Arabidopsis thaliana: one gene and its partners. The protein of the gene in region 2 interacts with the protein of the main gene of each other region in a pairwise test. Each region holds a gene or a part of one and is shown on either strand. Other genes may lie near its edges.

Region 1 (3,545 bases), on a different chromosome or scaffold from region 2:
GACTGATGCATATATAAAGATGCACTTAAAAAAAGCAAAAGCAATAGCGTAACTGCGGAACACTTCAAACTACAGCTACATTAGTAGACTAGTAGTTGGTTATCAACCAACAAGCCTAAGAGAAGTGCCAAAACAGAAGCCAATGCCATGATTCTAGAGGCAAAAACTAGGCACCTAATCGACTCAGAAAGTACAAACTTGAAATCTCCAGGGCCAGAATTGCCTAGTTGAAACATAAGATGCATAAAAGGAATGCATGACCATCTTCAAGATTGTCAACAAGCTCAACCCATATTTATAAAACAACAAAGAAAGAGCTTGGAACCTCCAGAACAACTAAGAGGAAGCTCTGAAAGACCTGTATGTTCAACTCTTTTGGCTATAGTACCTAGTCATGATAAGAATAAGGTCACACAAGCTACAACTTTGGTGATACGTTTACAATTATATACCCACGACCTGATGAAGCTAATAAGATTCACTAGATCAATCTAATCTGTGTGCAGCAACAAAACATAGCTTCTCTAATCTGTGTGCACATCAACAACAAACAAAACATCCAACAACACAATGAATCAAGCAGCATATTTGATCCCTCGTCAAAGTGTTCTTTATTTGATCAACACAACAAGAAAGTAGATTAGCTTATAGCTTTGTGGAATCAAACAAAGCTATTGTATAGTGTATCACATTTCTCCACTTAATTCTCAAATAGACTCAAAAATCAAATCTCTGTTTTCCAGGAATATAACATTCCAATCTTCCTACTCTTTTCCAGAAACTATAATCAAATATAACCTTATAAGATGAACAATACTCACCAAAAGCTCGAACTTGGGGAAAATTTTGATTAACTTAAAAAGAATGAAGTTTATACCAATCTAAGAAGCCGCAACTTCAGCAGCTTGTTCAGTCGCCGCCGCTTCAATAATTTTCTTATTCTTCTCAATCGCCGCCGCAACTTCCTGTGGCATATACTTCTCATCATGCTTAGCCAAAACTTCAGTCGCCGAGAAGAAACAATCGAGGTTCCTAGCTTTCTTCGAAATAGGTTTTGTAGAAACTTCCTTCCTTACTTCATCTGTATACGGCTTAATGAATCCTTCAACCACAACTGAATGACCTTCCCTAAACAGATCCGGCAAAGATCCTTTATACCTAACCAAAATATCAGTGATCAGATCAGTGATCACAAACTCCATCTCCTGTGACGCCGCCGGCTGCGCAACGCTACCTTCTAGAACCAAACCACCGAGTCTGAATTTGTTCTTTGTTGGATTCTCTGCGAATTTCTCCATAGCGTCTGATGGCGTTAGGTAGAAGACAAGCTGATCCTGAAATTGGTTAAGGACGATAACTACGAATCCGGCGATGCAGCTGAAGGTTAGCGCGTAGGTCCATAAACGGCGATTCTGCATCTGACGCGCTTTGGCTCCGATATCGATTTTCTTAGGACGTGTTGGACCGCGACGAGCGATGGAGAGAGATCGGAGGAAGGTTAAGGATGATAATCGCGATGGATCTGGTGAGGCGGTGGTCAATGAGTGAAAAATCGGGCAAGGTGGTGATTCGAATGACGATGAGATTTGAGGATTTCGTTGAATTGATCGGAGGATTTGAGAACTTCGACGGAACAATAACCTAGCTGCCATTTTCCGGGAAGATTGATTTTTCCTCGTGGGAATCAATCAAATTCCCGAGAGCGAGAGGTTTATGGGGTTTTCTGGAAAAATGAAAAAGAAGCCACAAGCCGCCCCACTGAAGAACTATGGACCACGTCAAGAACCCTCTCTGTGGTTTAGAGGGTTCAATCACAATTTCTTAAGTGAAATTCTGATTACTATTCGTTACAATCTCAAAATCAACCAATCCAAAAATCTGTATAAGCTTCGATTATTGAAGAGCTGAGTTTTTTTCTTCTGTCACAAATATTTCTCTTCTGTGGGATCAAATCCTTACCACGTAAACACATTCAAAGAGTAGTTTGTTGGTAACAAGTGTTTCTAAACAGAGTTATTGTTATAGCCTGAAACCAGATAAGTATTTTTGATTAGAGAATGAGATAAGATTAGGACAAGCAAAGAAATGATGATGAAAAGTGCTTTGTGCAAAAATATGCACAAAGGTGGTAAACTATTGTTTGTTTTTTTTTGTTTAAGAAGAGACTCTCTTGAAACCCAAACATACAACGAAAGAGGTACCTCAAGTTTCAAAAATTCTTTAAAAGAAACAAAGACAAATCTTCCTACTCATTCTTGAGCATTACTACTTGCGTCCATTGGCTCAGCCTCTGTTGAAGCCTCTCCTTTCTCTCCCGCCTTTTGGGCTGCAAAACACCAAATTGAACCTTTTTAATCAACATGTGGATCACGTCATATAAGGTAAAAGTCTGGAAATTTATTTTAAGTTCTTACCTTTCTTCTTCTTTCCACCACCTTTCTTCTTCTTGATGCCCAAAGCTAACCACCCTTTGATCTCAGGGTCTTCGATGGTCTTTTTAGGAAGTTCCTGAAGTGTATGTGAAGTGATCCTATCTGATCCATTTGGCATCAGCAAAACTGTGAACTTAATCTGAGCAACAAAATCCCCTGGTAGAAAACCAAAACGACATGAGCCTTGATATCAAGATTCAGATAAAAGAGGTTTATAGATTCAAAACCCTTTCATCATCCTTACCAGGCTTCTCGTAAAGAACAGGATATGGTTGCAAATGACCATGGTTCACACACTCCACAAGTCCAAGCCGTGCCCTTTTCTCCTCCAGTGACCTGTATTGATAATACTCTCAGGTAACGTTAGCAAGTGAGATAATAGTTTAAGGAATATAAAATGCTTCAGAAGGTACAAAAGACACCTTGCAGTGAATGGCATACGGGGGAAGTTCTGTTTAATTTCGCTGATTATGAATCTGGAGGCCTTCATCTTCAACTGATAGTTAACACTTTCATCTTTCTTGTAAATAGTTGTTTGCTTCTCGTCTAATAGCTTTGGCTGCAAAGTCAAAGATTGTGAGAACAATGGCAATAGACAAAGGTTCACCAATAGTGATCGGGATGCGATAAACAAAAGAAATTACCTTGCCATCACCAGTACTTGCCACAATATCTATTGCATAGACTTCATTCTCTTCAAATTCCACTTCGTCAACAGTTGTTTCAGGGCTGGATACACTAAGCACAACCTTGTTTCCATCTATCACATGCTGTTTCAGCTGGTGGGAAAGAACACCTTCAACAATTTTGCAGTCATAAGCTGCAGCTACCTTCTGAATAGCTTCAGTTACATCAGTGTTCTGCGATAAGAAAAACAGAATATCAATGTCTTGATTGCAATATGTTGTAGTACTAAACAAGAAACTACAAACTCGTAGCAAGAAACTTTATTTTAAAGAACTTTCCCACATCAGAGTAACTACGGCCTCATTTGGATGCGAATCCATAACAATTACGGTCTTCATCCAGAAATCTTTTCCCAAAACAATTTACATTTGAAGTCCGCTAAAAAAAAAAAGCATCGTGCAAGACCAAGAGAGGAAAACCTTAGAC
Region 2 (3,190 bases):
TAACCTCGGTAACTAAAAACCTCGCCTTTGTGATCATTCATCATCTTGTTTTAACAGCTTTTAAAAGCGGTTTAATCACCTGCAACTCTCTTTACTCTTCAGTTAAAGGAGTACATCGATGATACCGAAGATTTCATCAACATTCAATTGGTATACCTTGAAATCTTGATCTTTTTTAGATATCTTATTTGCTTAGAAAACCTTAAGAATCTGCTGAAAATTTCTGGAATTTGCAGGATAACGTACGGAATCAGCTGATCCAATTCGAGCTGCTGCTAACTACTGCCACATTCGTTGTAGCCATCTTCGGGGTTGTAGCCGGGATCTTTGGGATGAATTTTGAGATAGACTTCTTTGAAAAGCCTGGTGCTTTCAAATGGGTTTTAGCCATTACTGGAGTGTGTGGCCTTGTTGTATTTTTGGCATTCCTCTGGTACTACAAACGTAGAAGACTCATGCCTCTGTGAAGACATAACTACCCTGACACGTAGACGATTGTTTTACTGTTTATGTTGCTTAAATCTATACATTAATCGCCTGTGACCTTTACAAGATAAAACCCCGTGTATTTTTTTTTTGGGTTACTGAAAGATTATTAAGCAAACCATACCAGACTCATCTTGATCTTTCACTTTATGGATTGTCCTAGTCGAAACTCACAGCTCACACAACAGTATCGTAAAGGATGAATCCTTTAACTTATCGCAAATTTACATATCTTCGATAAAGAAACCTAAGTGTAGAGTGTAAAGATACATATCTGAACTGAACCACACTCTAGAACAGACATGGCTGAGTTTATAGACATGGAAACGATGATGTATGGATCCATTCACAAAATGTAGTTGACTAGAGTCTCCATCCAAGTGGGGGGAGATGACTACTTATCCGAGGATGAAGATGATGAGAGACGAGCTTTTCGAGCTTTATCAGCTTTTTCCAAGTAATCTTGGTGAGAACGATGCTTTGATCCTGAAACAAACCAGATTTACCAAACAACAAAAGCCAATAAGAGAAACAATTAGCCTATATAATGAACAAAACAAGGAGAATATTACCAAATGTCACATATAGCAAATAAGATATTTAACCATTGAGATTATGCAATTGAATCGATGTGTGATCATCAGGGGAAAAAGCAAACAAACTTGGTAAAAAATGTGATCATGCAAGTCTATTATGATCCAAACAGAATAAACATTGTGACTCATCATTATCATATAATCAAACTCTATTTGATCGACCACTTGATTGCATTTGCCAAGAAATATAAAGTTAGAAACTTTAGATTCTAAATCTTTCAGCTATTGATATCATCATCCTCTTCCATTTCGGAATCTACAGAGAAACATCTATTTATATATTTCAATCTAAATCGCCCAGAGAAAACGAACCTTGATTCATTAGATACCAAGGGATTCCGAAGATGATGGAGATAATCCCGATCCCAGCCAAAACGTGCTTCTTCTCCCCACTGTAGACATAGTGCTCCATCTTTGCCCTAATTCCTCCTCCTCCCAAATTGCTCTTGCTCTCATTTCCCATCTCGATCTCCACAGGTTTTGCTTCTTCTTCTTCTTCTTCTTCTTCTTCTTCTTCTTCTTCTTCTTCTTCTAGGGTTTATCAGGAATTAGATCCCTCTCTCTCTCGGATCTTTTAAAGAAATCTAAAATGGGCCCTATTTAGGCCCATTCATATTAGTGTTACTTTGTTTATTACCATATTAGACCCCATATTATCTATATATTCGTTTTTGACCCCATTAACTTCATATCCTCATCCCATTAAGACCATGTTTGAAATGTATTAATTTAAGCCTTCTCACTCACTCGCTATGGCCGCGATCGTTGCCATTGGTAGGAAACTCGCGCGAACGCCACAATGGCGGATTGTTCAGCATCAATCTCTGCTACGTCGTGCAGTGTCGACGTCGTTTTCGAGCTCAGTTTCCCAAAATCATTCCTTCTCTTCAGCATTTCATCGAGCAGGTCATGTGCATTCTCAAGTTTTAAGCTATCTCCCACATTTTGCCTCTTCTAATCGCTTCTCCACCAAAACCATCTCCGAAACATTTGATATCAACTTAACAGCATTGGCTCCGTTAGAAAAGGGTCTGATTGATTTAATCAGACAGGTCTCTGAGCTGGAGTCAGAGGCGGATGCCATGGCTTCTCTGGAGGACTCATCATTTGATCTAAATCATGATTCTTTCTACTCCTTAATCTGGGAATTAAGAGATGAATGGAGGCTTGCCTTTCTAGCATTCAAATGGGGAGAGAAACGCGGCTGTGATGATCAGAAATCTTGTGATTTGATGATCTGGGTGTTGGGTAATCATCAAAAGTTCAACATTGCTTGGTGTTTGATCCGTGATATGTTTAATGTTTCAAAGGATACTAGAAAGGCCATGTTTCTCATGATGGACAGGTTCGGTTTCGTCTTCTTGATAAAAGTTTCTCTTTTGTTGTGCTAAATTGAAAGATTTACTAGCTAGGTATTGAATTGGTTGTCTTGGTGACGGTGTTGATGTAGATATGCTGCTGCTAATGATACTAGCCAAGCTATTCGGACATTTGATATTATGGATAAGTTTAAACACACTCCTTATGATGAAGCATTTCAAGGATTGCTATGTGCATTGTGTAGACATGGCCACATTGAAAAAGCTGAAGAGTTCATGCTTGCAAGCAAAAAGCTCTTTCCGGTGGATGTTGAGGGATTCAACGTAATTCTTAATGGTTGGTGTAACATTTGGACTGATGTGACTGAAGCAAAGAGGATTTGGCGAGAGATGGGGAATTACTGTATCACGCCTAACAAGGACTCTTACAGTCACATGATCTCTTGCTTCTCTAAAGTTGGGAACCTTTTTGATTCTCTCAGGCTATACGATGAAATGAAGAAACGGGGATTGGCTCCAGGGATTGAAGTTTACAATTCCTTGGTTTATGTGTTGACCCGTGAGGATTGCTTTGATGAAGCTATGAAGCTTATGAAAAAGTTGAACGAGGAAGGATTAAAGCCAGATTCAGTGACCTACAACTCGATGATACGCCCCCTTTGTGAGGCTGGAAAGCTGGACGTAGCCAGGAATGTATTGGCAACCATGATTAGTGAGAACCTTAGTCCAACAGTTGATACATTTCATGCATTCCTTGAGGCTGTAAATTTCGAGAAAACTTTAGAGGTT
Region 3 (5,875 bases), on a different chromosome or scaffold from region 2:
GTGTTGTTGTTGTTGCTGTTGTTTTTACAGTGTGACGACTTTGTTTGAGAGGGTTAAAGGCTAAAGGCCATTTTTGATTCGGTGTCTCTCCGGTGCAAATGCAATCATCATCAATTCTTCTGTTCCTTTAACGCGGATTAAACGTGTGTCAAAATGTATAATTGTCTAGATTACTATTTCTTTGGCTCTTTCAACAAATGAATTAGCACGTATATTAAAAAAATATGAAAACTAAAAATATTACTAATTAAAAAAAAAACAGAAAATCTATATGGGAAACATTCTACAGTAAAAGAAATGTTAAAATATAGCTAAACATTTTTTACTGTAAACTGAAAACATTTTTTACCACCATTTATACACTGAGACCAGAACTCCAGAAGCATAGTACTATTCCAATCATGTAAAGACCAAAATACAATGAGACTCTTCACCTTATTGAAACCGAGATCAACTGGCCACATTCCAATCAACTTTACATGTTTACTTATGTTAATTGTTGGAAGTTGTGTTTTCATCAGAAAAGGAAACACTCAAATCTAATTTAAAATGAAAATTCACCAAAACCACCTAATGCTAAAAACATCAAAACTTATCATTGCTGACAAAAGACGTATATGAGCTAAGAGAAGTCATGGCTGGAAATGAGGGAGTGCATTGTGAGAGTAGACAGGATTCCGGGAACAACGCTAATCCCAATCTGAAACTTAGATTCAAAATTTGGAGAAGGTGTGCCAAAAAAGATTTGTCCATTAATTGAGAAATAAAAAAAAGGTTGACCACAAAGTTGTCATCATGCACGCCCTTGTTTCTATGTCTCTTAAACACATTTTGTTTCATGTTTTTCAACACAAATTTTGTAATGTTTACTAACATTACAACAAAACAATCACATCGTTTGGAGAAGATGCAAACCGCCTTTCCTACTTCATTTACTCTTTGAAGTCATCCTTGTCATCTGCCGGAATCGGTAGGTTTCTCCAGAACACGGCCAGGCCGCTCCCGCCAAGCTGCAGAATGCCATTGAACATAATTAAACTTAAGGAATTTGCATGTGAACTTTAGTGAAATGGCTATGAAAACTTACCGCCATACAGACAACACTGACTGCAGAAGGAACAGCAACTAGAGGGTTTGTGAAATGCTTTTGTGCAAGCAAGAACCCGAGCGCTGAACTCTGCGGTTTGCAAAGTACACAGATTTTCAAAAAGAAGCCTTAGTAAAGCAAACGGCAATGTATATCTACGGTATAGGAGAAAGTAACTTACTTGCATTCCACATTCTATAGAAATGGTACGCGAAGTGGACTCGCCGAAAGAAAACTTTGAAATCCAATAGCCAATAGCAAAGGCTGCAGCATGAAGGAGTGCCACCGGGAGTATAAGTTGAGCTCCTTGGGTTTTCAAAACATCTGCAACTTGTCCAATCTTTTCAGAAGAGATAAGGTAGTAATCAATACCAATTCCAGTCTCAAAATTCAATAAAAAAAATATATATATCTGGATATATGAACTTACAGGGCTGGCACAGAGCAGAGTAGTCAGAATGACTCCGATTAGAGGCGTCACTGTTATGATCTTAGACGTAAATTTAGGAAAGAACTCATTTGCCAGAACTGCACACAATGCAGAAAAAGACATTAGTCCCTAAGGATATATAAGCACAAATTCATTTTTCCGGAAACACGTAGCACCATACTTACCTCCAATTATGGTAGGAACCAACACTACTTGGAACGTACTAAGAGCAAGTCCCTGACGTAAAAAAATGGATCCATAAGCTTTCGTTGTGGAGGGCTGCAACTATATTCTAATAGAGTTCTTGCGCTTCATTCTACTTTAAATCATTCAATAACTTTTACTGAACCATGATTATTCATATTTTAGCTAAGTGAAATGTATCTTATATTTCATACATAAAAAGAAATGTATCTTATCAATGCAATTTTGAATGAAACGATTCAAAATAGTTATAGAGAAAACTCACAGCAGCGTCAACGGGAACAAGCTGACCAGCAAGAAGCTTAGTAAGAAGAGGAGTCATTATAATAGCCCCAATGGTTGAACACCTAATAAATTAAAGAACAGATAATGTATATGAAATCTGACCAATAAAATTAAAGAACGAAAAGAGAAAGAAGTGAAAATAGAAGGATTACGTTGTCATGAGTACAGAGAGCGCTACATTCCCCTTGGAAATGTAAGTAGCAACGTTTGACGCCTGTCCTCCAGGGCAGCATGAGACTAGGATAAGGCCAGTCGCAAGAGGTGCCGAAAGCTTAAGAGTCTAAAATAAAACACACAGAAAAAGTTTGTATTAGTTGGCTGCTCAACAATTAATGTTAACCAAATGTAGTGTTTCCAAATGCACATAGCATATGTCCATATCAATCCTCTCTACAAGAGAAATCCCTCAAGGAGTAAGTGAGTATGCCAGGAATTGTTTCTACAGTAACTAGAAAGCAAATATTTGATTCAAACGTTTCAAGAAAAAGTGATGTTTGGACATGCAACGACTCTTGGATCTAAGTTAATCAAAGAAAGAATATTCCAATCAACATTTGATTTGGCTAAAGCGTATACAGCCCATAGAAGTAAAAACGGACGAAGAGAACCAATATCTTAAACAAAATAGAATATTGCATAAGCATCCATTTCAGAGAAGCAAATAGAAGTAAATGTGATAGACATTAGTGGAAACATACCATTGCAATGAGAAAACCTAGAATTGGCTTGATCATATATTGAGCAAGAAAACCAACACCCACCTGCAGGAGAAAGACTCTAAACGTTAAACAGGTACTGTATCTAACAGATAGAAAAAACACACCAGTGTTCATTGGCTCTCACCGTCCATGGATTACGTAAACATCTTCTGAAATCTTCAAACGTAAGAGTCAAACCCATGGAAAGCATAAGAAATCCAAGACCTAGAGTAAAGAGATCTGTTTCCAACCATGTAACCTACAAAACTTAAATCTATAAGCCCCAAAAACATAGATTGCTACAGTAAATAAACAATAACAAAGAAGCATAAAAAGCATACCAAGGATGGCTTGAAGATGCCAACAAGTGTTCCCAAAATAACCTGCACAACAAACAAAAACCACATTGCTCCATATCAGTTATCAAACTCACAAAAAGTTTCAAACTTCATCAAAGAAAGGTATAGCATAAGTACCCAAAGTGGAAAAAGGGTTGTCAAAAGCTCAATAATCTTCTCATACTGACTAAGTTCCTTAGGAGTACTCTCAGGTAAGTCACCTGACACACCAGCAGCAGCTTTGCAAACAACCCTCCTGTAAAAATTACAATTTTTAATAAACCCAAATCCTTAAACTTGTTTACACATTCACCAAATTACAATACCTGGAGGAAGTTGCTTCAAGAGCAAAGACAGGGCTAATAGGTTTACTATTCTGAATCCTCAAACTTATCCCAGAGTTACTAACAGAAACTAACTTGGGAAAATCTGAAGAAAAATATATGATTCAGCAAATTGACTCTTAGAAATCTGAAACCAGAGAAGTATAAAGGATAGATACCTAAGTGAGTTTGAGTTCTGGTTGTAGAAGGAACCCACGAGGTGTTGATTCTGCATTGACTTAATCTGCCATCTGTTGGTAAGATTCTGGAAATGGAAGCCATGTTTTGATCAAAAGGGTTTTAGGATGTTGGTGAATCAGAGAAGATGAGTTAGTGACATCTCCAAATGAGGAGGAGACAAAGGGTTTTGTGGAGTGTTGTGAAAGAGAGGAGAGCCACACATTCTTCATCTGCCCCTTTCATCAACAATCCTATCTGGAAAATATCTACTTAACATTTTTGGATCGATTCTACTACAACTACGTCGATGTGTGTGTGTTTTTTTTTTTTTTTCCTGTCGTCATTTCCGATGTGTTTTCGAACAGAACCTAATTGAGATTTGAGTGTTCGGTTAACCAGTCGATTAATAGAAGTGGTCCGATCGGTAACTTTTCCTATTGGTTAGGTACGGTTAATCGAACAATCTTTTAACCATTTTTTCTAATTTTTTAAACTAATATAAACAAATCATATCCAATTTTATAAACTAATACCAAAATTCTTTAAAATTGCTATACAAACCAAATTTTTGTATGGATTTGAGACACATTACCGAACTGAGTTAACTGATAACTGAACCGATCCAAACCGAATTTTTGTTCGGTTAAATTTGGCAGTCTTATCTCCTAACTAGATACTCGAAAAACCAATTATCCAAACCGAACGGTTCGGTTCGCTCAAAAGTCGTATGCCTAAGTTTCACATGTATTAATCAATCATATCTATTGAATTTTTTTTGTTTACAGTCTGATTGTATTGTTAAACAAGATTGTATATTTTTATACATTTTAGTTTATATATGGATAAGATGCACATATTCACTATGGTTCATACCACAGAAATTCTATATTTGAAAACTGTGCTGCAAAAACATATTTATTGATGTTGGAAAAGTCAATCAAGATGTAGAAATATGCTGAAAATATGGTCTATTTCCACCAAATGATTTGCCTCTATTTTTACTGTGAAAATAGCTTTATTAGTTAGATAAACTCATAAAATCAAGACAATCACATGATGAAGTATTGATTTAACACATTTTGAAACACTACACGTTAATTTATTCGACTGAACAAATACAAAGTTTTCATTAAATGTGAGTGCTGAGTTCTGTGACAGTTTGTTTGAATTTTCTGGATAATGATTAGCACCATGCCCCAGCCAAGAAACCCCCATACTTTGTTTGTAACCATTAATATTAATATTTTGGTTGGCGACAGACAAATCTTTGGCCGACGAAGCTGATTTTCACTCTTTCACTGCCAAATTTTGTATGTTTCATCGACATTTTTACATTTGAAAATCTTATGTTTTTGGTTTTGTTGGGGGATATGCATAAATTTCTTAAGAGATAAATAATAAGTAGAATCGTCGAGAGATGTATAATCTAGTTTATGTTTCTTGGCCTCTACTCTACTTTTCTTTCTTTGCATTCTCTTTAAATTCCCATTCTTCGTTTATTTAAAGATGCATGTTCGAATCTTCTCTACTTCTACAAACTAAATGGAATGACATAAGGTTATGTCTCTCTATGAATATTGTTGGATATAAACAAGTTGAACTACAATGATTCAACGCAGGTTGTTCAACACTCACTCTCTCAGCTTTGGCATCTTAAGACACTTTTACGATATATCCACTCCTAGTTTTTAGGAAAAGAACAAGACTGTCACATCTTTCAAAAGTCATCAACCCGCAACCAAACTTTTATTTCATTTGTCTCGTTAGATTAGATGCTTGATGAATTGAGTCTCAATACCTCCTAAAGTGAAGAAAGGTCTCGGGAGGAAACAAAATGACCTTAAGATATTAGATTTTTGGTTGGAAATTTGGAATGTTAAATTTTATTCAACAAAAAATTATCTACATAGTTTGAAAGGAGATTACAACAAGAGAGGACCAATGAAATAAAAGCATTAATAGAATGCTAGCTTAAAATTCAAAGAAATAGATCAGCTATGATCGGCCATGAAACCAAAGAGAATGGATCCGATGGCTAGTCATCAATCTCTTAATGTTAACAAAGAGTAGATCTGATTTTGATCAAAACAGGCCAGACCCGTACTTCGTCATCGTATATCATTATTTTTTATTTTCTGTTTCTTGAAAACAAAAAGAAAAAACTATTTGTAATCACATAACAATTTGTTGAAAGACAAAAAAAAAGAGAGAGAGAGACTAATATCTACTTGTATACTGTTATTTTTTTTTACCATTTCTATTAATTATTTTGTTATTATTCGTTAAAAACTTTATCTATCTTTTATGACCAATAATGATGCATAATTTAT
Region 4 (6,996 bases), on a different chromosome or scaffold from region 2:
GGTGTACCAATGATCACATGGCCGTTGTTCGCTGAACAATTTCTCAATGAGAAACTCATCGTGGAGGTTTTGAACATCGGGGTTAGGGTTGGGGTGGAGATTCCGGTGAGATGGGGAGACGAGGAGAGACTTGGAGTGTTGGTCAAGAAACCGAGTGTTGTGAAAGCTATAAAGCTTTTGATGGACCAAGATTGTCAACGTGTAGACGAAAATGATGATGATAATGAATTCGTGAGACGAAGGAGACGTATTCAAGAACTTGCAGTAATGGCGAAAAAGGCTGTGGAAGAAAAGGGATCTTCGAGTATTAACGTTTCAATTTTAATCCAAGATGTTTTGGAGCAATTGAGTCTCGTGTAGAAAAATCGAATGTAGAAGTTGACATAAGATTTATAAGAATAACACCAAACGATTTTTCTTTTTGCCAAAGAAGAAAAATTCATATAGATATAATGTGCATAATATGTATACTTTCGAACTCTTCTCTTAGCCTAATGAGTGATTTAGAAATACTCTTGAAATCATCACTTAAAGAGTCTTTTTTCCTTTTTCTCGAAAGATGAAACTTATATATATGGAAAATGCCTTTTAAGGATGCACTTAGAATATAGACTTTAGATTATTACATCTTGATGAAAATATTAATGTCTTCACTAGATATCTCAACTCAATTAACAAAGAGGTCTTTTGATTCATTATTTTGAAGCTTTTAGAAATATGAGAAGAAAAATGCTTGAATATTACTTCTGAAACTCTAAGATGGTGTAGAAGTAATCAATGTAGAAAGGTCGAAAAGTAGGGAATCCCGCGGAGAGACCAAGCTCTATAAACTCTTCTTCGGTTCTATGCTTACCTTTGGTTCTATAGATGGTCATGACAAAGATGTCACCTTCTAACAAGGCACGAGTCCGGTGACTTTCATCGGTTTCCTTAGGCAAGACCGGCTCACACGCAATCAGCTTTCCTCCAACTGGTAACGCGTTGTAGCAATTCTTCATTATCTGCTTGCATTCTTCATCCGTCCATGTCGTTAACACCCACTTTACACTCAAACAACAATATTACAAGATATTAATTTGGGACCAGAGAAGCAAAAAATGTGTGTATTTGTTTGTGTTGTTCTTTCAACAAACATGAGATCCCTATCCATGGTCTAACAGATCACAAGTTTTTGGTTTGAGAAATGTATAATCAATATTTAAATGATCATAAATAAATGAAAGTGACCAGTCGCATGATCTAACGATAACTAAGACTATATACTACCAAACATATTGTCCGAAGCGACTTATAAATTTATACCTATATCACTAAACATTAAAACTATATACAGAAACTAGAATTCGTCCTATTAGCAAAAATGTTAGTAGGTGTATTCTCGTGACAGACAATAATGTTACAACAAACCTTCATGAAGATAGCGTCAGCGCTAGGAACTGATTGGAACATATCCCCACCCACGTGAGTCACTCCTAAACCATACAATATATCATCCATTATTACTCCGTACATTACTAAAAATAGCTTTTTACTTTCAGAAAATAACGTACGTACAATATATCATAAATACAAAATCTCACCAGGAATATTGGGGGCTTTGGCAACAACTTCAGGTAAATCGAAATTAATCCCTTCACGGACGTTAGGAAATTGTTGAAGGATCATACGCAGACAATCCCCTGCACTACCTCCTACGTCAACCAAAATATCCACTGATTTAAACCCATCGTAGCCGTCTAATATAGCTTTCATGAACGGTACAGATACGCCAGACATTGCCTTTTGCATTAGACCATTCATCTCCTCACTTTTCCCATACTGAGCGTATGCCGCCTCGCCGTTTGCTTTCACGTACGGCTCTGTCTCCGGCTCCACCACTGCCGTGTGAACTAGTGGCCATGCTCGCATCAACGCCTCCTGTAATATATATCATTTTCACAACAAGTTTTAGACATTAGTTTATTATACCATCATTAGTCCTTTAATATATCACTCCAATTTTGGAAAATGAAAATGAGTCATAAACCTGGTGATGTTGGAGGACGTAGGCAGCGTAAGAGAGGCCGCCGGAGTCGGTTACAAGAGTTTTTCCGACGTCCGTAAGAGAGTATTTCCTCTCAATGGATCCAACAAGGTGTTCGGAGAAGACACCGTAGCTGGTGAGCATCCGAAGTATACGCTGAAGATTCTCGGGGTCGCCACCAATGGTAGTGTGAGATGGTAGGTGGAGGCGAGGGAGGATCTCGGCGGCAGAGAGAGGAGAATTGGCTCCGCCGTTCCAAATGGCGTCGGCAATGCCTAGTCGCACGGCGGCATTGAGAGACATGGGAACGCTAATCATGTTAGCAAGCTCCATAATGGCAAGACGAGCTCTGTTTCTACTCTCTGAGCTTTCGTTCTCCATTTTTTTTAATCTTCCTCGTACGTGAAAGTGAAACTACACATCGCTATAGAACCCACTAGTATTGGTTTTATATGGTTTTATATGGTTTTTAAGGTTAATGTTACGTGTGGTCCATATGGAATGGGATGGTTTTAGACCTTAGTCTATTATTTAGAAATTCAAAAAAAAATAAAATTTTGATTTTCGTAATTACTGAAAAATGGAGAACAAACACAAGCTGTATGAAAGTTTGATTTGAAATGATAACACAATTACCAAACTTTAATGGTACTAGCATCTCACTGTTCAAAATTCACATTTCCGATGGTACAACTATTTTCCATAATTCATTTTTTTGTGGTTATTTCTCAAGAGTACTATGAAACAAGTCCATTCACACCAATCAATTATCATGAAAACATAAATTCTGGTTTTTACCTTTGGCTCACCTTCATATACAATCCCTGAAATTGAAAATATCAGCATTAGAGAAATTGGAATCATTCTAAACAAAACAGACACTCTCATTAATCTCTCGAGTGTGAGAACATTGGCATACATTGGTGGTGTGTATGGTTGCTCCTGTGGTCATGCTAATGGTCTGATCAGGAACCAGCTCAACGTTTAACCGCTGAAGAAACACCGCGAGTGCCACAATTGCCTCCATCAATGCAAACTGATCGCCTACACATTTTCTAGGCCCTCCACTGAATGGGATGAATCTGGTGAAAAAAGAAAATCATCTTTTAAATTCCCTAATCAAAACCACTAATCTTGATTCAGTAGTTTGTGTCAAAAGATGTGTTCTACTGAGTTTACTTGAAATCAGTGTTTGTTTCGTTAGGGATTGCGCCATCTATGTCGAATCGTTCAGGCAGAAATTCCTCAGCTTTTTCCCATACCTTTGGAATAACAAACAACAAACACATAAGAAATGTGGGCATGAATGTAATACTAGGAATGTCCACTCCGGTTAGATATCCGAACCACACAAAGATCATTGAAGAGAAGGATTAGGCTCCCCTATGTTATACTATGGACGAGAGAAGGAAGAGAACTGTACCTCGGAAGAACGATGGATGTTATAGACTGAAATCATAATGTCTTGTCCGGTATTGACCTTATAGTTCCCAGGAAGAATGTCAGGAACTTGAGCTCTTCTTATCAAGACCTACCAGGAAACAAATCAATCAGAAAATTTAGTTCATGAATAATTAGAGAGATGAGCTTGATTGCTTACAGGAGGATGAGGATAGAGACGCATTGACTCGTTTATACAACGAGTGATGTACTTCAACTCCTTTATATCCTCGAAAGCCGGGTTTCTTCCTTCTAACACTCTGTCTACTTCTTCTTGTGCTTTCCTTAATGCAGATGAGTTCTATGAACATAGAGAATTTGAAGAGGTAAATGAGAACAGAGAAGCTCCCATCCAAGTAAATTCTCTAGCATAGCAAAGTAGAAGATACATTAAGGTACCTTACTTAGGAGATAAAGTGTCCAAGTGAGGACAGATCCAGTGGTTTCATGACCCGCTACGAGCATTGAGAGAAGATCATCCCGTAACTGCACACTTGATACCTGAAAACCCTCACAATGCAACATCAGCTTCGATTATGCGATAATGAAAGGCCAAATTTGCTTATAAACTTAAGGAAAAAAGTTTAAACCTCTTCTCTGCTTGCAAGCAAGAAACGCAGGATACTTGGGTCAGCATCATTTACATACTCCTCATCATTGATTCTTTCGCCTTCTCTTTCGACAATTTCTTTACACTTAGCAATAAGGTCTTCAACAGTTTCCCTTATCAAAGTTACAGCCTTTTCAGCTTTCACCTGTCTCGGGACTATCTTACACAATGCATCGATCTGAAAAAAACAACCAAACCCTCTCAATTAACAAGAATCCAATTGTTCCACACAATCAACAAACCACAGAAAAAACACAGGAAACTTGCCTTCCAATATGGCAGAAGATCAGTAGAACGAAGCTCAGCTTCTTTAAGAGCAGTGTAAACAGCTTCAATGACAGGACTATCAGTAGTCAAAGAATCGAAATTGTAGTTAAAAAGAGACAACCCAATGACATCAAGTGTCATCTGAGAGAACTTCGCTTCCATATTCACAGCACTTCCGTCTTCTGCATAAGGCTGCAACTTCTCAACAAGCCTCTCTGCACATTTGCAGAATACTCTCTCCACAATCACAGACAAATACCTCCTGTGAAGCGATGGAACCACCGCTCTACGCCTCGCCTATGTAAAAAATCAGACTTCAGCTAAGCCCAATAGAGAAGATTGGAATCTAAACCCTAAAATTAGAGTTACTTATCATACAAGACAGTCACACATTACTTCCACAATTCCAAAAACTTCAAAATTGAGATAGGAGGAGATGAAATTACTGTCCAAAGAGGTCCTTCAGCGATAGCGAAACCCGAACCAAATAGAAATTCAGAGACTTCAGCGACTAAGCCTTTAGCGTACTTTGGATAATTCCTCAAAACATGTTTAGCTATCGCTGGGTCGCTCACAATTACGAAATTACGAGGACCAGCAGCGAGACGGTAAATGGGTCCGTACTCATTCATCCATTTGTAGAGAGGTAAGAAGAGAGCACCTCCGAGGAGATCAGCGACATCGTCGAGCTTCGCGTTCGCGATTGGTATACCTGACTCGTCGTTTTTTCCTGAGGAAAGGGTACGAGTGAGTGTTGTGAGCCAATCGGGACTGACCCATGATTGGGATTTCGATGAATTGGTCTCGAGTTTGGGTTTGGGTTTCTCAATGGAGGATCTGATGGAGAATGTGAATTTGGGTTTTGGTGATAAAAGACGCGTAGGTTTTGCAGTGAAGAGAGAAGAGTAAGAAGAGGAAGATGGAGAAAAGAGTGAAGACTCCATTGATGACCTCTTTTCGAAGCTTCCGTGCAGAAATATTTGACTCTGTGTAGAAACGCGAACCGTTACGCGTGGATAAGGACGACGATGCATAAAACGACTACGTTTTGTTAATCAAAACTTAATATGGGCCTCCTCGTATTTGGGCCTTTTAAAAGCAAGTAGCAAAATCTGAAACGAAACAGAGAAGATCGAATTTTCTTTGAAACTCTGTAAACTCTGTTTCTGTAAAGTTGTTAAATTTTGTCGATCTGGTAGGAAGAAGAAGTACAAGAGAACAAGAAAAAGTCAATTCCTTTCGTTAGTCGGCGAATTCTAGAAACGATGTTCAATTTCTGGTATGATTTTGCGAATTTTTTGCCATCTGATTCATATGTTATTGATGAAATTGCGTGATCCAGACATTAGGTCTGTTAGCGATTAAGGAAATCTTGTTGTTGTGTAGTTTGTTGAGCTATAATGATATATTTGAGGTTTTTGAGGTGAATTGACAAGTGTAGATTTTGCTCAGCTACTGATTTAGGGTTCATAGTTACTGATATTAGGTTTACAATGATGTGCTGTATAAATGCACCTTTCAAGTTTATGAGGTGATGTATTATATTAACTTGGAAGCTGAGATAGTTAGTTGATGATGTTTCTTTTTTTTGTTGTGTACGTGAAGGGGATCAAAAGACCAACAACAAGGGCAATCTCGTCCTCAGGAAGCTTCTTCACAGTCGCCATGGTACTCGCCTTCTTTAGTTAGCTCGCCAAGCTCATCCCGGCCTCAAAGTTCAGGTCAGATTTCAGCACAAGTATCACCGGGTGAAGCAGCTGGCATTATCGTCTTCTTGAAAGACAAAAGGTTTGCTCTTTTTGTTTGTTTGTTTGTTATCCTTCTCTCGAGTGTGCGTTTTTTTTGTATGTCTTCTTTTTGAATAGTGTATACTTTTCTGTAGCGTGGATGAACTCAGGAAGCTTCTCTCTGACAAAGATGCGTATCAGCAATTTCTGCTCTCTCTTGACCAGGTCAAAGTCCAGAATAATGTAAGTCTCTAAAACAGTCAGTTGTTTCTGGATAGCTAAGAGTATTACTATTAATTGTAGTCCTAAGAATGGAGCTTCGTTAGTTATGTGTTGATATTATTCATTGGTGCTCTTTCAAGTATATACATTGATATTGTTTGAGGAAGCCTTTATCATGGCGTCATCTTCTACATGTTGCCAGTAATTAGAGCTTTCTGGTTCTTTGTTATAGTCTCTAAAACAGTCGGTTGTTTCTGGATAACCGAGGGTCTTATCTGTAGCTCTAAGAATATGTAGCTTCTTTAGTTCTGTGTTGATATAATTCATTAGTGCTCTTTCAAGTCTATACATTGATATTGTTTGATAAAGCCTGTATCATGTCATCAGCTTTCTGGTTCCTTGTTATAGTCTCTGGACGTTAATTTTTTCGTGATTTGTTTCTGTCCGTCAGATCAAAGATGAGCTCCGTAGAGAAACATTGCAGCTAGCTAGTAAGTACTCTATGGTTCATGTAATTCTACAGGAAACTTTAGTTCAATCCAGAAATCTAGAACTTTCCATTTGATCAAATGTAACAGGAGACAACTTGGAGAAGGAGCCACAGATAATGGAGCTCAGAAACCAAGTGTGTATCAAGAACCAACTTTTCTTGTTCAGTTTTACCATGTTATACCTTTTCGATATCTCTGATTTACCAGTCTTTACTT

Evidence for each region.
Region 1: the proteins of AT1G80890 (region 2) and G1 interact in a protein complementation assay, tested with the Arabidopsis thaliana proteins (one large-scale study listed by BioGRID).
Region 3: the proteins of AT1G80890 (region 2) and BASS2 interact in a protein complementation assay, tested with the Arabidopsis thaliana proteins (one large-scale study listed by BioGRID).
Region 4: the proteins of AT1G80890 (region 2) and LUT1 interact in a protein complementation assay, tested with the Arabidopsis thaliana proteins (one large-scale study listed by BioGRID).

What each region holds. Positions count from the first base shown.
Region 1 is NC_003074.8:19,209,012-19,212,556, forward strand, and holds G1 (transmembrane protein G1P-related 1), read right to left. Parts: upstream 1,839-3,545; 5' UTR 1,653-1,838; coding exon 882-1,652; 3' UTR 504-881; downstream 1-503. Other genes in the region: ATG2 (metallopeptidase M24 family protein), read right to left, coding at 2,250-2,326, 2,415-2,615, 2,677-2,768, 2,855-2,991, 3,077-3,292. UniProt on the Arabidopsis thaliana protein: Heme-binding chaperone that may be involved in cytochrome c maturation in mitochondria.
Region 2 is NC_003070.9:30,395,566-30,398,755, reverse strand, and holds AT1G80890 (GAG1At protein), read right to left. Parts: upstream 1,629-3,190; 5' UTR 1,546-1,628; coding exon 1,395-1,545; exon of another isoform or gene 973-1,394; coding exon 881-972; 3' UTR 546-880; downstream 1-545. Other genes in the region: MGT1 (magnesium transporter 1), read left to right, coding at 1-8, 103-150, 237-467; AT1G80880 (Tetratricopeptide repeat (TPR)-like superfamily protein), read left to right, coding at 1,835-2,427, 2,533-3,190.
Region 3 is NC_003071.7:11,474,224-11,480,098, forward strand, and holds BASS2 (Sodium Bile acid symporter family), read right to left. Parts: upstream 3,920-5,875; 5' UTR 3,648-3,919; coding exon 3,545-3,647; intron 3,472-3,544; coding exon 3,369-3,471; intron 3,299-3,368; coding exon 3,181-3,298; intron 3,088-3,180; coding exon 3,046-3,087; intron 2,964-3,045; coding exon 2,850-2,963; intron 2,768-2,849; coding exon 2,705-2,767; intron 2,287-2,704; coding exon 2,159-2,286; intron 2,069-2,158; coding exon 1,987-2,068; intron 1,755-1,986; coding exon 1,703-1,754; intron 1,616-1,702; coding exon 1,518-1,615; intron 1,428-1,517; coding exon 1,269-1,427; intron 1,178-1,268; coding exon 1,088-1,177; intron 1,011-1,087; coding exon 933-1,010; 3' UTR 529-932; downstream 1-528.
Region 4 is NC_003074.8:19,691,100-19,698,095, reverse strand, and holds LUT1 (Cytochrome P450 superfamily protein), read right to left. Parts: upstream 5,340-6,996; 5' UTR 5,285-5,339; coding exon 4,787-5,284; intron 4,638-4,786; coding exon 4,341-4,637; intron 4,252-4,340; coding exon 4,054-4,251; intron 3,965-4,053; coding exon 3,863-3,964; intron 3,765-3,862; coding exon 3,624-3,764; intron 3,555-3,623; coding exon 3,447-3,554; intron 3,286-3,446; coding exon 3,203-3,285; intron 3,106-3,202; coding exon 2,943-3,105; intron 2,848-2,942; coding exon 2,818-2,847; 3' UTR 2,405-2,817; coding exon of another isoform or gene 2,027-2,404; intron 1,918-2,026; coding exon of another isoform or gene 1,581-1,917; intron 1,473-1,580; coding exon of another isoform or gene 1,408-1,472; intron 1,041-1,407; coding exon of another isoform or gene 741-1,040; 3' UTR 554-740; downstream 1-553. Other genes in the region: UGT73D1 (UDP-glucosyl transferase 73D1), read left to right, coding at 1-360; AT3G53140 (O-methyltransferase family protein), read right to left, coding at 741-1,040, 1,408-1,472, 1,581-1,917, 2,027-2,404; VPS37-1 (Modifier of rudimentary (Mod(r)) protein), read left to right, coding at 5,606-5,619, 5,946-6,128, 6,223-6,310, 6,741-6,780, 6,868-6,914. UniProt on the Arabidopsis thaliana protein: Heme-containing cytochrome P450 involved in the biosynthesis of xanthophylls. Specific for epsilon- and beta-ring hydroxylation of alpha-carotene. Has only a low activity toward the beta-rings of beta-carotene.